2 linked regions of the Tribolium castaneum genome follow. The protein of the gene in region 1 interacts with the protein of each later gene in a pairwise test. Links are inferred from orthologs where the notes say so. Each region holds a gene or a part of one and is shown in the gene's direction. Other genes may lie near its edges. The genes, in order: sds22 and serine/threonine-protein phosphatase PP1-beta catalytic subunit.

Region 1 (4,248 bases):
ATGATTATACGTTTGTAAGGGTGATAATTAATAATAATAATTTTATTTATAATATTAATAATAATTAATAATACTGATTATCAAATTAACAAATGGTATTAGTATTTTTATTGCTTTTGCAGATTTTCTTTAAAACTTGTTTCAATCAATTTAATTCAAGATGATACTTTTATGTCAATAATTTTTCAGTATTTAATTGTACAAAGGACTCAAAAAAATACAAATTTATCATAGTTATGCAACTAACAATACAACACTTTTTATACACGTACCTGCAACAAGGCCTCAAAATCCCTCAATTCGGACCTCCTGATGATTCTTTCGAGGTACATTTTTTCCAAAATCGCCACTGCTGGCAACTGTTGGCACCTCTCGTCCTTGAACAGTGTGGCCAACATGCGCGATCTTTGTTGCCCCGCTGAAGCCAAAACAGTGCAAACTAAAGCATTCCGAAGGGCTGTCATGCGTTCATCTTCATGAACAATCGTCCTATAGGACAATTCATTGTATCTCTGAGCCGCCTCAATAAACTTCCGCCGATAATCCAAAACTCGAGCATAACAAACTTTGTAATAAATTTGAAGCTGCTCATTCCGTGACTCGGCCTGAAGCAGCGACGCCCGGTTGATGAAAGCCTCAGCCTGGACCGGATCGTCATCCTCAAGATACAACCTCGCGATTTTCAAATACGTTTCAAGTTTGTAATCCACGGTGTATTGTTTCTGGCCGGTTTCGAGCGGGATTCCCACCAGGACAGCTGCAGCCTCGCGCCACATGTGGTTACGTTCGTAGATATCGGCCAAATGTTGGCGAATACTTGCCACCTGCTCCTCAAACGAAATAACCCGGGGTTGCACCTTCTCAAGCATAAAGTGTGAGACAGTTTTGGAAACATCGTCGGGTAGTTTCATCAAATGCGAGCTTATTTCGGTCAGGATTTGGCGCGAGATGACCAAACTAACGTTCTCATTGACAACTGAAACGACTTGAGTTAGACTGGGTTGGTGGCTGTGGGGGGTACGGACTTGCTTCGATGAATATCTGCAAGCCTTCGGTCAGCTCGGGGCCCGAACCGGCGAGGATGTTCTCAAGAATACCGCGATATCTGTTAAAAATTAATGTTTTTTTTAATTTTTTTTACATAACCTCACTTTTCGGCCTGGTCTTTGTGGGAGCCCCCGGACGCGATTATGTTGGAGAGTTGGGTGCGGATAGCCGCGCTTTTCTCCGACATGGTGCTCCGCTACTATTTTGGCCACAAATAATAATAAATTATTTTAATTTAACTAAAAGTAGTTTTTGACAAATGACTGACAAAACAGCAATTGCCAACACAACGCTATTGCCGGTTGTGGTAATTTTGTCTAAAAAACACACTTGCAAGTAAATTGTTGTCTTTGCTCTGTAAATAAATACTTGCGACCAATTGCAAGTACAGTTTACTTTAATTAACGTGTGAATAAGGGGTTAAGGGGAAGACGATTTGATTTAATAGGTTGGCTGCACGTGTTGAAGTCAAACTCAAACGTCACGGATGTTTGCTGTCACCCGCCTTTAAATTAGTCACTTAATTAAATTGCAATAAACAGAAATAGTCCAGTGTGAGTGCGAAAAATGCCTTCTCCGCAACAAAACGAGAGTTCCCCCGAGCCCGGTAAGAGAATTCGTTACTTTCGTCGAAAGTCCATGCTCATTGTTAGCCCCAGAGACGTCCACTTCGAACGACAATAAGGAAAAAGGGGCCACTGTCAACGAAATAATGGTAATAGACCCGGACACCCTTGAGCTGGACCTAAACCATGGCAGGATCAGCAAGCTCGAAAACCTTGAGCCCTTGACACAAATCGAGCGCCTCTTCCTGAGGTGGAATTTGATCACCAAAATTGAGAATTTGGACACGTTAGTCACGCTCCGCGAATTGGAATTGTACGATAACCAAATCGTCAAAATGGAAAATCTGGGATGTTTGGTTAATTTAGAGTAAGGAGTGACTCATTTGTGAATGTTGCGAAATATGGCTTTAAAAGGATTCTAGATTTGTCGTTTAATCGTATCAAGGAGATTGAGGGACTGGAGAATTTGCACAATTTAGAAAAACTCTTCCTGTCGTCGAACAAAATCAGCAAAATCAAAAATGTGAAGCACTTGCAGAAGCTGACAATGCTGGAGCTGGGGGACAACAAAATTAGGGTAAGTGTTTATCCTATGGAGGATAATAACTTAGGAGACGAAACTGCGCCGTATTCCCAGCGTTTTGATAAATGTTATCGCTTAGAATTATCAATTTGCGTTCCACCTTATATTTCTGCGAGCTCTGCGAATACAGTTGAAGATACAAAAAAAGTGTAAGGAACAAAGTTGTAGAGAATAAAATTTTCTACAAAAAAGTCCGCGACACCATATTTCTATCTTTAATAGTTTAGGTACGAATTAACTTTCCAATACTTGACCACCGGCAAAATTAAGGAAATCCGTTGCTTGAGCGTCTTTGAACGACTTTGGGGCCTAAATGGTTCAAGATAGGAACATGGTCTCGCGGACTTTTTTGTAGGAAATTTAATTCTCTACAATTTTCTTCCTAACATTTTTCTTGTATCTGTAACCGTATTCGCAGCGTTTTGAAAAATATCTGACAGAGTGCAAAATTGGTAAAAGTTTACGATAAAATTTTTGCACTGTGTTTATCTCTGAATATTGAGAATTTAATGCTATATCTGCCTGTTTTTTTTTGTTTGCTATGTGTGAACAGTAATAAAAATACAACCATGTTTTGAAATGCGCCCTCTGGCGACATTAACGGAGCTATCGAGGACGAGAACGTTTTATTTGTACGTCGTTTCATATTCTAACCTTTAGATCTTCGTAGTTTATCCTTTGAGTGTTTTCAGTTGTTAGTCATAATCTGTGACTTCTAAAACCGTCCTAATTGCAGGACATAGAGAACCTGGAAAACATGCCAGCCCTGACCCACCTCTACTTGGGCAAAAATAAAATATCAAAAATAAAAAACTTGGACAGTCTGACCAACGTGACGTGTCTGAGCCTGCAAAGCAACCGAATAACGCGTATCGAGAATTTGGATAAGCTCACACAATTGACCGAACTGTACATTTCCGAGAACGGAATTCATAAAATAGAAAATCTTACGCATAACACGTTGCTACAGACCTTGGATTTGGCGAAAAATAAAATAAAGTTGATTGAAAACATCGAGCATTTGAACGACTTGGAGGAGTTTTGGATGAATGATAATGAAGTTTCCGATTGGGGAACTGTCGAGAATTTATCGAAGAACAAAAAGCTGGCTACAGTTTACTTGGAGCGGAATCCGCTCGAGAAGGACCCGATGTACAGGAGGAAATTGAAGATGATCGCGCCCTCTCTAACCCAGATCGACGCGACTTTGTGTCAGTTGTAAAATATTGTTTTGTAAATTAAGGAAACCACCGTTGCCATCTGTGCATTTATGAGTTGATTAGCTAATGAGTAACGATTAATTTTAGGCGTCTAATTATAAACCAATCACCCAATTGTGAAAATCGGTTTTAATTTTGATAAGCCCCTGCTACGTAAAAATAAACCAAATAACAATAAACCCGTCGTGTTATTTCCGTTTGAAATTGAAAGGTTAGCAAATTTGCTGGCACCTGTTTTGTTCTCCAGTAGTTTTAAAAATAGCCAAGCTGGATAAATTCTGGGTTTGTGGGCCAGTTCCTGCGATTTTTCCCATCCAAGCTGACGCGTCACAATGAGCGAGCAGTTCGTCCTGCGATGGCACTACCAAGAGCTCACCCTCCTCAAAAACCTCACCACGTTCCTCGAAAACGACGTTCTCACCGATGTCACCATCTCGGTCGAATCCCACACCGTTAAGGCGCACAAACTGGTGTTAGCAATGTGCAGTGTGTACTTTTTCCAGCTGTTCCAGGTGAGTTTTCGCGAAATCACCGTCTATTTTTAAACGACATTACGCCCACTTGTAGGAAATGAGGGACACGCAGCATCCGGTCATTGTGCTGCATAACGTCGCCCTGAGCGACATTAAGGCCGTCCTGGCGTTCATATACAGGGGGCAGTGCGTGGTCTCCAAGGAGCAGCTGCCAGGGCTGCTCTCCCTGGCCAAGCTCCTCAAAATACAAGGACTATGTGATATGAAGGTTAGTCCCCAAAGCCCTAATTACTTATTGGCACCGTGGCCCGTTATGTAACCAAACGTAAACCTAGATTTTGTTAGGTACCTGAAAAACC
Region 2 (3,175 bases), on another chromosome or scaffold:
AATAAGTTTCCTCAAATGAAATGTGTCGATAAATTCCAACTTAAAAGGGTATCACAAAAAAATAGAGATCTTAGTAATAAATCATTTGATTTTTATGTATTTAAAAATATCAAAACTCGACAGTTAAAATTTAAATTCGTTTTATTATAATGTTAAAAAAACGACTATTGGGCACCAGTTGGTAATAGTACTTTAGTTTGGTAGATTTCTTGCTTAAAAACGAAAAAACTCGCAGCCAAAAATGTAAAGTAGGCTTTAGGTCAATTTTGTTGAAATTATTTGAGTTGATTGAGTTGATTCCTGAGTCAAAAATTCTGTCAAGGAAAACAACGATTTCAGCACCCATTTAAAGATAAATAATATAATTTCGGACGATTTCTTGTTATAAAATGAGAAAACTCGCTGAAAAATTTCTATTTTCTGTTGGTACCTTTTTAAGCCTTCTTTTTAATATGAATATTACAAACACTGTTTTAAGACACGTTTCCGATAGCAACGTGTTTTTACTATTCTAAAACACGCTTCTCATAGCAACGTGTTTTAAATTAAAATGTTGTAACGAAAAAAAATTGATAACATTTATACGAAAACGCTTGAAGTTCTCGAGTGTGTTCTCGCTCGACAGCCCCCGAACTTTAAGCTTATGTTTTCGCACTCGTGTTATTAATAACTTTAATTTCTTTAAACTGGCTGGAAACGCAAAATTAAACATTTTTGAAATCAGTTTATTTTATACGGTTTCTTGCTCAAAAATGTTAAAAACTCGCTGTCGAAAACCTGAAGTCGCTTTATTCGCACCACAAACCTTTTGAAACATGACTGAAAATGGCTTATTTTGGATGATTCCTTGCTTACAAATTAGTAAACTTTTATAGAAGACACTGAAAGTTTATTTTGGACAATTTCTTGCTTAAAATCGAAAAAAAGCACGTGTTTATTTCACAAATCGGCTGATATGTGGAACTAATTCAACAGAGAAAGGCCATCATTAAAGTATGCTAGGTTGAACTAATTCTATTAAAAGATGTGCATTATTTGCATATTTGCTTAAAAATGTAAATTTTAAATCACCGACTTAATAATTTTCTTACAATAAACGACCTGTGTGTATGATTTCTGTATTTTATTCATCAAAATAAAGCCAACTTTTTGCATTTTGAAATTAAACCTCCACTTGTTTGCGAAATATAGATTAAGAAGAATTTTCGGTTATATATTTGCAAGTGAACAAATCATTTTTTTGCGTTATTTTATGTTTGATTTAAGCACGAAAAAACCTGAAAAATCGGTGTTTGTTAACACCTTGGTTGTTTGTGCTTCCACTGAAAATGAAAAAGTCTGTGTTGCCAACCTAATTTCGGAGTCATCGGCTGCTGGTATTTTATTCGATTTAATTCAAAAACCAGGTCTGCTGTGCGATTTGCTGTGGTCCGACCCTGATAAAGACGTGCAAGGTTGGGGTGAGAACGACCGCGGAGTGTCATTTACTTTCGGCGCTGATGTCGTTAGTAAATTTTTGAACCGTCACGATCTAGATTTGATCTGTCGCGCCCATCAAGTGGTGGAGGATGGGTACGAATTTTTCGCAAAAAGACAACTAGTCACGCTTTTCTCAGCCCCGAATTATTGCGGCGAGTTTGACAACGCTGGAGGGATGATGAGTGTAGATGAAACGTTAATGTGTTCTTTTCAGGTGAGGATTAGGTTTTTGTGTTTTGGTTCGTTTTGTAATTTTTTGTGTAGATTTTGAAGCCGTCGGAAAAGAAAGCCAAGTATCAATACCAAGGAGTGAACTCAGGACGTCCCTCAACGCCTCAGAGAAACCCAACAACTAAAAAGAAATAAAGTCGAGTAATTGACACCTCTTTTCATTTTTATTCAACTAATGCATTTGTAACGTTTATTCTCTAATACTGCTAGACAGTCAGTCGCATTGTGTTGAAGTATTATTATTTTGTATATTTATTTAGTTTTGTTCATTTTTTTTTAATTAAATTGTGATTATTTTGACTGATTAGGAGTTTTCTTTTTGACTGACTGGTCGTATTTCTATTGTAAATAAATATACGCAATTATTAATTTATTTAGGAACGAGACCAGTGATTGGTGTATTATTTAAAGAAACTATTGTTAAATTATCTTGCTTGCATTTCCATGTGCATCATAAAGTGGCCCAGCCAAAGACTTTGTGATTGGTCATTAAATGTTGTAGAAGAATCATTTTTCTTTGGTTCCTAAATGCTGCAATCGCATCTTGACATTTTGCAATCACCTCTTTGTATAGAAATTGGCATAAACGCGATTTTTTCACTCGTACTATCGTTTATGTTTTATATTTTATTTCGTTCTATTGACAAATCTATTTCACCTAATGTACTTTAAATTTGACAAATAAATCTATATATTACTAGCGACGCCTTTTTATCTTTCAAACCTTTGTCCTTTTTCTCCGATTAACACAATTTAGAATAAGTGGAAATTTTTCTGATCTTCTAAATATGAGTAATGAGTTGCTTTTTATGACAGTTTTTATGAAGAATCAATAAAAACTCGAATTAAATAAGAAAAACTGGAAGCGGAAGAGGTCATAATTTGCAGGAGGCCAGCAAACAGTAATAAAGTGCCCAAAGACTAATTTCTTAAATATTTTATTCAAATATAGGCGTTTACCAAATTTAATTTAGCAGCATTTTTACACAATTTATGAGATACACAAATACGTTTAGAATTTTATCATAAAACAAATAACCTTATCGAAGTGTTACAATAATTACTTACATTATTCATCAAAGCTTAGAGATACTATCACCTTTTTTATCACTATACCTGTAACTGTGACGTGGTTTCAGAAGGCGTAACAATTTATAATTTCACCCTTTATGCTTTTTGCGTTTATTTTTTTCTGTTGTACATAAAAATGAAAAATTATAACTCCAAATTAATGGATTAATGAATTAATGTAGGCGCTCCGAAAAATGGAGGTATTATTCAAGGTCCAAATAAAACAAGATAAAATACAACGAATTTATTGACTTCTAGAGCAGTAATGCGGCGTCGAATCCGATGGAATATTTTATAGGATTACCACTAATGAGAATATGCTTAGCTTGAATTAAGTACCTAAATAAAGTAACGCAAGAAAGTACCGATTCATAGATCTACATATATACATCAG

What was found.
Region 2: the proteins of sds22 (region 1) and serine/threonine-protein phosphatase PP1-beta catalytic subunit interact in binary tests that used the Homo sapiens proteins (3 or more experiments, as listed by UniProt). The link is inferred for Tribolium castaneum from reciprocal best matches to the Homo sapiens genes PPP1R7 and PPP1CB.

Annotation. Positions count from the first base shown.
Region 1 is NC_087399.1:5,888,637-5,892,884, reverse strand, and holds sds22 (protein phosphatase 1 regulatory subunit 7), read left to right. Parts: upstream 1-1,499; 5' UTR 1,500-1,614; coding exon 1,615-1,654; intron 1,655-1,706; coding exon 1,707-1,980; intron 1,981-2,027; coding exon 2,028-2,190; intron 2,191-2,932; coding exon 2,933-3,418; 3' UTR 3,419-3,595; downstream 3,596-4,248. Other genes in the region: CSN4 (COP9 signalosome complex subunit 4), read right to left, coding at 273-976, 1,026-1,105, 3,648-3,730; longitudinals lacking protein, isoforms H/M/V, read left to right, coding at 3,749-3,928, 3,984-4,157, 4,235-4,248. UniProt on the Homo sapiens protein: Regulatory subunit of protein phosphatase 1.
Region 2 is NC_087402.1:10,011,014-10,014,188, forward strand, and holds the end of serine/threonine-protein phosphatase PP1-beta catalytic subunit, read left to right. Parts: intron 1-1,406; coding exon 1,407-1,693; intron 1,694-1,743; coding exon 1,744-1,845; 3' UTR 1,846-2,410; downstream 2,411-3,175. UniProt on the Homo sapiens protein: Protein phosphatase that associates with over 200 regulatory proteins to form highly specific holoenzymes which dephosphorylate hundreds of biological targets.